Arabidopsis thaliana: one gene and its partner. The protein of the gene in region 1 interacts with the protein of each later gene in a pairwise test. Each region holds a gene or a part of one and is shown on either strand. Other genes may lie near its edges.

Evidence for each region. Proteins that work in one complex are often made in the same cells at the same time.
Region 2: the proteins of AT3G53370 (region 1) and EIL1 interact in a two-hybrid assay, tested with the Arabidopsis thaliana proteins (one large-scale study listed by BioGRID).

Annotation. Positions count from the first base shown.
Region 1 is NC_003074.8:19,787,245-19,791,392, forward strand, and holds AT3G53370 (S1FA-like DNA-binding protein), read right to left. Parts: upstream 1,664-4,148; 5' UTR 1,494-1,663; coding exon 1,467-1,493; intron 1,119-1,466; coding exon 915-1,118; 3' UTR 608-914; downstream 1-607. Other genes in the region: AT3G53380 (Concanavalin A-like lectin protein kinase family protein), read right to left, coding at 1,960-4,107.
Region 2 is NC_003071.7:11,543,479-11,548,877, reverse strand, and holds EIL1 (ETHYLENE-INSENSITIVE3-like 1), read right to left. Parts: upstream 3,223-5,399; 5' UTR 2,886-3,222; intron 2,611-2,885; 5' UTR 2,565-2,610; coding exon 810-2,564; 3' UTR 585-809; downstream 1-584. UniProt on the Arabidopsis thaliana protein: Probable transcription factor acting as a positive regulator in the ethylene response pathway. Could bind the primary ethylene response element present in the ETHYLENE-RESPONSE-FACTOR1 promoter.

The sequences.
Region 1 (4,148 bases):
ATGGGCAACAAATGCAGTGCTATACAAACTACGAAAAGAGGATACATCTCAACTTATCTGATGAGTACAACAAATTTGAGTTAAGATGATTTGAAGAAGGCCATGAAGCAAAACTATCTGCTGGGTATGTCTTGAATCGCTTCCCCTAAACTGTAATCTTATCAAACCGCTGAAATTGTGATGTTTTAGGTTGCTAAACAGTATTGTAGGGATGAGTTGATTCAATTTCCTTGAGATTGGCTGTTTTGAGATGTTGGATTCCTTGTTGATTTTCCAGGTATGAACATGTAAAAGCTCCAGACTCCTTGAGTCTCGTAGAAGTGACGACGCAACTTCTTTCTTCTTATATGTCTAGAAATGGATCAAACACTGGACTAAGAATCCGGAAATCGTATCGCAAAACGAATCAAAACGATGAAAGTTTTAGTCTCTTATACATCTGTGATTATTGAGCTAATAAAACAACTTGATACGAAACAATCATGGGACGTCAATGATAGTTTAGTTGATGGATCTGTTTGTAAAAATCAAATATTGACTCTCTTTGCGTCTTGATTCTGTGAATATACACATCTTGTCTCTATAGCTATTCGGTTTAGCAAAAGCAGGATTGGTAGCGCCGTAACAATGGAACCAAGTAACATCTAAATAGTAAATAAGTTAAATGATATTGAAGATGAGAATTTGTAGCAAAGATGATGTGAGAGACTCTACAGTAGCAACCAAATGTGTGTATGAAGGAAAAACAAGTCAGACCAAAACAATAGTCTACACTCTCCATGTGAAATCATACAGGACTCAAGATAATCCTCATGACAGAAGTAAAGGAAGAAAAAACCCGCAAGGGTGAAATTTGGTAACCGAACAAAAACCGCTTTGAAGGAGGCACAAGTGAAGGAAGCTTAAGCTGGCTTTTATTCTCCAGGGACAGGGACTCCTTGCTTTAGCTTCTCCCGCTTGAGCTTCTTTTTGGAAACGGGCTTCTTCTTCCTTGGAGGTAGGTTCTTCTGAGCATAAACGTAAAGCACGTAGTTGGCGATTAGGAACACAAGAAGCGGACCTCCAACAACAAGCAGCACGATTAATCCCGGGTTCAATCCCTTGGCTTCAGCAGCCGCCTATGAAATTCAGACCAATGTATGCATAAATGATACCAAACATAGAAAACAACAATCTAGGACCAAGCAAACATGTATACTGAATGAGATTATTGCAAAGCGTGCAATGTTGTCCAGCAATGCATGCAAATGATTATTTTTTTCTATTCCTCTAAAAAGCTAAGACATCACATAATTTCCTTAGATCATTAACAAAATAGCCCACAAATCACGAATCCAACCCTTAAGAAATCGATTGCACATTCCGGGATCGCAGAAGAGGAGCTATTATGGTAAAATCATCTCGATTTCAACGGAGATACCGTTAAATTCTACAAAAGGTGAAAGTATAGAGAAGATTGACGGTACCTTTCCGGCAAAATCTTCGCCGTCCATGATTACGATCCAAAATATACGTGAGATCAGCTCCAGTAACGTACTAATGGTAGGAAGAGAGGAGGAAAGGAAACGAGGATCTGTTTTCGACACAGAGATTAATAAGACGCAAACAAACTCACACAGAGATAATATACACACGTGTTTTATCCACTACATCGCCACTTTCACTAATCCATAAATATTATTTTGGACCCCTTACTTTTTAGGTATTTCGATTTCAATCCGTATCTTTTGTTTTGCTAGGTTAGGCCCGTATTATATCTACCAAAACTAAGGTTGTTTGATCTGGTTTTAGTTCAGCTTGGGTATGGATTGGTTTGTCCCGATGTTTTAATGGCTTTCTAAGAAACCAATTTTGTGTTCTTATCTTACATACATTGAAATAACAAAAATGAATTGAATATTACAAAAATCAAATAATCAAACACACAAAACACATCTGTTTGGTTCAACTCCAATATATCTATACCAAATGGTCATCGTCGCTTCGAATGATAACGTTATGTTCGGGCACCGACCACGAAGACGATCGACTAGAGTTCAAAGCCACGGTATTACAATCAGAGAGAGTATCTTGCAAACTCAGCAACAAATGCGAAGTGCTAAAACTCATGGTGGGTCTAGACTTAGGCACAACCGGTACATCAGCCTCACCAATCAGCATTTGCACCACTGACCTCATAGTGGGCCTAAATGCTGGATCCGGATGCGAACAAGCCAAGCCCACAACCAAGACCCGCCACATCTCACCTTCATCAAACTTACCTTCAAGCCTAGAATCAGCAGCTGCAGAAACTTTCCCTTCTTTATACAAACCCCACACCCATTCTACTAAATTCGGATTCACCCCAACATTATGTCTTTGCACATTTAAGTCCTTCTCAATCGGTCTTCTTCCACTAACCACTTCCAAAACCACCGCTCCGTAACTAAACACATCCGTCTTCTCCGAAGCACGACCCGTCAGAAGATACTCCGGCGCTAAATATCCCATCGTCCCGGCGGCAACAGTTGCTTCCGGCGACTTATCATGCTCAATCTGTCTCGCCAATCCGAAATCTCCAAGCTTGGCATTAAAACTCTCATCTAACATTATATTACTACTCTTAACATCTCTATGAATCACCTGATTCTCACACTCTCTATGTAAATAAGCTAAAGCAGATGCAACACCAAGCAAGATCTTTTTCCGATGATCCCACGGTAACGTGAATCGTGACTCAAACAAAGCTTTATCAAGCGAACCATTAGGCATTAGATCGTAGACTAACAAAATCTCACCTTTCTCGTGACACCATCCTTGTAATCTCACGAGGTTTCTGTGTCTTAAGCTTCCGATTATTGATAGTTCAGATAAAAACTCGTTCTTTTTGTCTTGTGAGCTATGGCTGCATCGTTTGACGGCGACGATGTCTCCGGTCTCCGGTAATATTCCTCTGTATACGACTCCGAAGGCTCCATGTCCGATGATACGACTCTCGTTGAAGTTCTTTGTGCCGGCTTTGAGTTCTTTATAGCTGAACTCTTTCGGAGCTTTGATGATTTCAGATGCGAATGAATCAGATCTCTCGACACGTTTGAACTTTTTGGAGTAAACCCAGAATAAAGCTCCGGCGAATAGTGCTAAGAAGAAAGCTCCGGCGGTTACTACTCCGGCGATTGTTCCGGGATTCTCTTTGCAGAAACGGCTGTGGCAAGACGACGACGACGAAGTTTTTAATTGAGTGTTGCTTGAGATCGGAATCGCTGAAGACGACGGTTGTGACGCCAACGGCGGCGGAGATTTCACCGAATTAGCTTTCGGATTCATCAAATTAGCCCGAGGAGGAGGTGACCCGGATCCGGATCCGAGACTCGACCCGAATGATGAACTGAAGCTCCACCATTCGATACTGTGAATCTCTGTACTTCCCTGAGTTGACCCGGAGAATCCAACGAACATGAAATCGTTCACGTATCGATCTAAATCGAGAGGGAAAGACAAAATTGGAACTTTCGGTTTCAGATTTGAGTAAGAGACTGATACGTTGAAGACCCGAGTCAATCCGTCGTATTCGATCCATGAATTGATGGTGTTGCCGCTCTTGAGATCGATGTTTACGGTGCCAAGATCACCGGAAACAGAGGAAACTACGCCATTTACGTCGAATCCAACATGGTTACTGTTAATGTCCTTGAAATCTACATCCATTAAAGTATCGAATTCGACGGCGACAAATTTTGAACCGGAACCGTTTGGACCGGTTAGACCAAGAGAGCCACCAGCGATGCCGATTGAGTTTGCGTCGGGAGAGATGACGAAAGCGAGACCACCGCCGATGGAAGAAGGGTTGACATTGGTTATAGAGAAGGAGAAAAAAGAAGAGAAGCTTGTCGGAAAGTGAGTTCCAGGTTGTCGGAATCTGATTGGGTTAGAGTATAAGACTTTTCCGGCGCCGGAATTAGGTACAGAGAGGTCACGTGTGAGGCCAACGATTCCATTGCTTAAACGTGCATCACCGAGGAGTTTGAGGTTGCTTATGGCTAGCGTGGAGAAATCAAACTGTGTCGTCGTAGCTCCATTGAAGAAACAGAGCAAGATTGAAATGAAGAAGGAGAGAAAGAGAGACATTAATGATCAGTTGAAGAAATGTTTTTTCAGAGAAGGGCCAT
Region 2 (5,399 bases), on another chromosome or scaffold:
AATGTAGTCAGTTTTGGCGATGAAGAGACTAAAAGAGTGGTGGGGTTTCACAACGCATATCACATGGCCTGTCCTCCAATTCCAAAATAAAGGAGACAACAACGTTTGTCTTCTCTTCCTCCCAAAAACACTCTCACCATTTTTGGCTTTTTTCACCTTATTATTATATAAATATCCGTTTTGGATTACAATGTGGATAAAAAAAGTTACATTAGAATTTGCCAGTGGTGAAGAAGAAGCCACAGTAGCCGACACTGATGCAATTGTTGGCAACCTGTTACTATATTATTCAATTGTGTTTGACCAAACAAATTATAAGAGAATATACTTTCTACATGAAAGCAAAGAAGATAACTTATATTATAAGATAAATGCTTTTTATAACCCTATAAATATGGCTAAGCCATGTGTTTTTCTTATGATATTGATTATTGAATTGAGTTGACTAGAGAACAACCAACAAAAATGACAGACTTAACACTTAAAAGAAAAAGAGAAAAAAGAGAAGAGTTCCATATTGTTTCATGATTGTTATGCTGGCTACTTGAACTTATACGGTTAAACCCAAAGATTAAAAAATAGAACTCAAAGAATCAAACTTGTAGCATGAGAATGATGTTCAATGGATAGTGACATTATTAAAACAATGAAGCGAGTTAAATGACTTTCAGACACAAAAAAAATAGATGGCTTCATCATCATCAACAATATAGATGAGTGTTTGGTGCCAATAGAATACATACCCAAGTCAGGTAAGTAGGTAACAGAGTTATTATGAAAGAATGAATGTTACAGAGATTGTGTAATATTCAGAACCATATTGATACATCTTGCTGCTGCTGCTGCTGCTGCTGCTGCTTCCCCATTCCTTCCATTGCTCCGGTTTGCCAATCATCTCTGTAATCGAATGCTGCCATATCGAATGGTGTCGAATCAAACACCATCTGGAACCGATTGTTAACCCCGTTGTTCGTCCCTTGTTGCATAAACATTTGATTGCCACTGTTGAAATTCAGCTGCTGATTCTGAGCTGCTTTTGCATCAATGACCATGCTTTGGTTTTCCATCAAAGTAGGAGGCGTTTGGTTGCTTTGGACATTTCTGTCGTACATGGCCATAAGCTCGGTGATCATCTTCTGCCCGTTTTCCGGAACTCCAACGCCCGATAGGTCGATCGGTTGGACTGGTTGCTGAGGAACTACTAGTTTCATTCCACCCATATGAAACTTGGATGCTCCATACGCTAAACGATTGTCTCTATATGGACAAACCATCTGGTGGTTGTCCCTTGAACTCCTGTCTTGAAATCCAAGATTCATTTTGCTGTGAGGACACTGACCATTCTCACAAGTGTAACCTGCTGATCTGTCCATTACCATAACATTCATATCATTGTTCTGCTTCCTCTTTCTCGTGAACTCTAAGTTTACCGTGGTGGCGACCTCCTCCTTTATGGGAAAATGTTGCATTTTAGCAACCCCAAAGCTTGCTAGAGGATGCATCATCACTATCTCTGGTTTCCGCTCTTCCACATCGAAACCATGTTGTTCCTTCTCGAAACCTTCAACGTCATACTCGCTACAATCATTAATGAGAAGCGACCCGCTTCCTAATGATGAAGAAGAAGAAAGAGGAGGGCATGACTCGGGATAAAGCTCCCGAGCCACAACCTCTTCTTGGTTAATAATGGCAAGCCAAGTAGCACTCTCTTTCGCCGTCATCTTATCCTGCAAGCATTTTGATTGCCTCACAAGCTTACGGATCTTCGCAATATCCGGCGACATATGCTTGATCACCGCAGTTAAAACACCGACTTTCCAAGCTTTCTTCAAATCATGAGGCTTCTTATAAGGAGGAGGACCTTGCTCATTTGGTAAACCAAGCTGAGGCCACCACTCTTCATTCCCATTAGGCCACCAAGGTGGAGAAACTCCTTTCTCCAAAGGAAACCGTCTCTGCGGTGGATCACAATGTTGCATCAAAGCCGATAAAAGCGAACCAAGAGTCGTGTCCTGAAGCTCCTGAAGCGTATGCGGTGTTGGACCAACCAAGCTGTTACAATCATTACTCCCTCCAGAAATATTATTCTCTGACTGATACTTAGCAATAGCAGCTGGACCATTACGATCAAACCTAACCTTATCTTTCCACCATTCCCTCAAATTATCCGAAGCACCAGTCACAGGCTTACCCTTCTCAGGAATAATACCATAAACAAAGCCTTGAGCTTTACAAACTTCCATCATCTTCAACATATACTTCAAGATCCCATCTTGGGCTCTAGACATTTTCTTCCTCCTAGCTTGCTCTTGCGACTGCCTCTGTTTCGAACCATCGACGCCTTCTTTACACTTACTCTGTTGCTCCTTGAGACGTTTCAAACGCATTTTGTCTCTCCACATCCTCTTCTCAAGCTCATCCACATCCATCTCATCATCGGTGTAGTCGACATCTTCAACTACAGGTTCTTGTTCAGCTTGTGGTAATGGACACACATCGAGAGATGTGGAGGAAGAGAAGAAATCCATGTTTCCATACATTCCCATCTCGTTAAACATCATCATGTCTCTTCCACCACAATCAAGAACAGAGCCTATCGATTTCTTTAACCTGAAAAAGAAAAAAAAACTTATAAGCTTTCTTTGATCAAACAAATCACCAGAAGCTAAAAACAACAAATCAAGCTTAAGGGTCAAAAACAAAAAAAAAAACTAAAGAGACTAAGAAGTAATGTTCTCATATCAATACATAGATTGTCAAAATGAATATTATAGACAATAAAACCAAACGATCTAGAAAGAACAGAGAGCCAAAAAAAATCGAAAGTATTATCAACAAAAAATAGAAACAATAATAAGATAAGAAAAGAGACAAAGAGTGTTTGCCTGAAAGAGTTGCAAATAAAGAACACCAAAAGTGGTATCTCTCTCTTGTTTTATAAAAGAAACAGATAAGGAAGTCTTGATGAATCCCCACAACTTCAGAGATGGAGAATAAGAAGAAAAGTCTGTTAAAGATCACATGGGAAGAAAGAAAGAGACATTAATTACTGTGTGGTGGTTTCTGGGTTTGTAGAGTTTGAAGATGAAAGAGAGAGAGAGAGAGAGAGAGACAAGAGGAAGAAGCAGATGCTTTGGTGGGGGGATTTAAAAGATTTAATAACGTCGCACCGTTTCAGTTTTTTCTCACTTTTTTCCAAAATATATAATAAATAAATGAGCATTGATTGACATTTTTAGGATCAAAATGAATGCAATATTCAGTCATAGTCGGTCCGGTCCACAACACAAGATGCGGTAATTGCAGTGTTTGGGAACCAGACCGGGCGTTCGGACCTGTTCTACCGGGATCGCCCGTCTAGTCCAATCCGAGTTGAGTCTACTGTTCACCGCTAAAAAACGCTAAAACTGATCAATATAAAAAAACGGGAATAACAAAATCTAAATCGGAAAAATATTACTAAAATTAAATTTATAGTAAATATTGATTTATATCTTTAAATTTCAACAAAACTAAATAGATATTAAATTTCTGTTGATTTTTCTAATAAATACTGAATATTCGTTGACAATGGCAATGGCTTGAAATGCTAATTAATAAAAATTTGACAACGACCAGATTACACGCATATATGATCCGCATGCAAAAGATGAACAACAACAAGCGCTAGAAAAGGATGAACGTTGTAGAGGTAATAATATGATAACATTAGATCCAAATAGCAAAAGCTCATTAGAATAGTTATGTTACTTTATAATTGGAGACAAAAATTTCACTTTGCTTTCAAAGCAGATTTAATATATAATTTTTGTCTCATATTGAAGGTACCATTGCTTTATAGGAACAATGTTGACGATTCCAGTTTCGGTTGCATCTGCTTAAAGAAGTTTTTCAAAGCTGAAGTTGATCAAATCGTATCTTCGGTCGACTATGTCACAAGAAAGATTGAGTGAGTTGGCTATATTATCAATCGAAAGAGAATTGGTTAGAGACATTGATTTTGAAAGCTTGGTTAACGATTTAGTGGAGAGGAAGGGTCAACAACTGTTTAAGAACTAATATTTAGTTTGTCAATTTTCTTTTTCTTACATGACAATGATGTTTATTTTTTGTAGACGATTTTTTTTTTCGTAAGGATATTTTATTTTTATTCGCTTCTGATACTTGATAGCGCTCGTACGACTCTGGAAACTCAATAGTATATATGAAGCTAAATACGCTCTATATACCACATTTGATGAATTTATGCCTTGAGTCAAGGCATAAAATTCATCTAATTTAGGGATTTTTTGCTTTGACGAAAGCATAGACGAAAGATATAACCTGAGAGAAGGCAACACTGATTCAGTCGAAGACAAGTGAAAACATTCTTCTATCAATACAAGATCGTAACATAAACGTGAACAAGCTCTACTAACTACGAATAATGATAATGGGCTCCATATTTAAGTTATATAGGCAAATGTTTTTGACTTTTGTAACAAAATCAAATTTATCTTCACTTTTCCTAACCTTCCTTTCGCCAACCTCCTCACCTGAGACATGAAGAAGAAACTCTCATGGATCTTAGAGTAAATACATAAATTTCACAGCTCGTCTCATCTTGTACATTGATTTATACATTGTCTCATATACCATCCCTTACACAGTATTAAACACCACTTGTACAGAGTTAAACACACCATCTTGTATACTATCTTTTACATAATCTCACATTATCTTGTACACGGCCTTGTACATCATCTTATACACCTCTGTTTATACCATCTCATACATCCCTTCACGCACACAGCCTAGTATATTATTTTGTACTGAACCATATGAATTATCCCATACACCGTCTTATACACTACCTCGTATACATTTTTGTAAATTGTCCGATACTCTCATGTGATGTAATTTTAACCATAAATACACATTACGCATATGCGTGGTATGTCATTGGAGTAACTAAAGATTGAATCAAATCCACGGGAAAATGCCATAACAGTATAACACATTAAATTATGATGAAATCATTTGCCATAAGACGGTATGAGAATCTACGGTCTCACTAATACCCTAACATGCATAGAATAAAAGAAGGGATAAATGAAAGCAATTAAACTATATATAGTAGATAATTGAAAACTAAACTAACAAAATTAAGAACTAAAATGAGCAAATAAACAAGATAGATAAATTGAACAATCAAGATGTTAGAAATCATGCAATCGATCTACATATTTTCAAGATAATGAACCTCTAACAATTAGGCTAATTCATGATTAGTGTGGTAAAAGCCTCTAACGTAACTTAGCCAAATTCAAAATCAATTTGGTAAACTATCACAATGGTTAAGAAACAATGCACACAAATTCCTTTAAGTTACAAAGCATCCGATCCTAAATATCACTTGC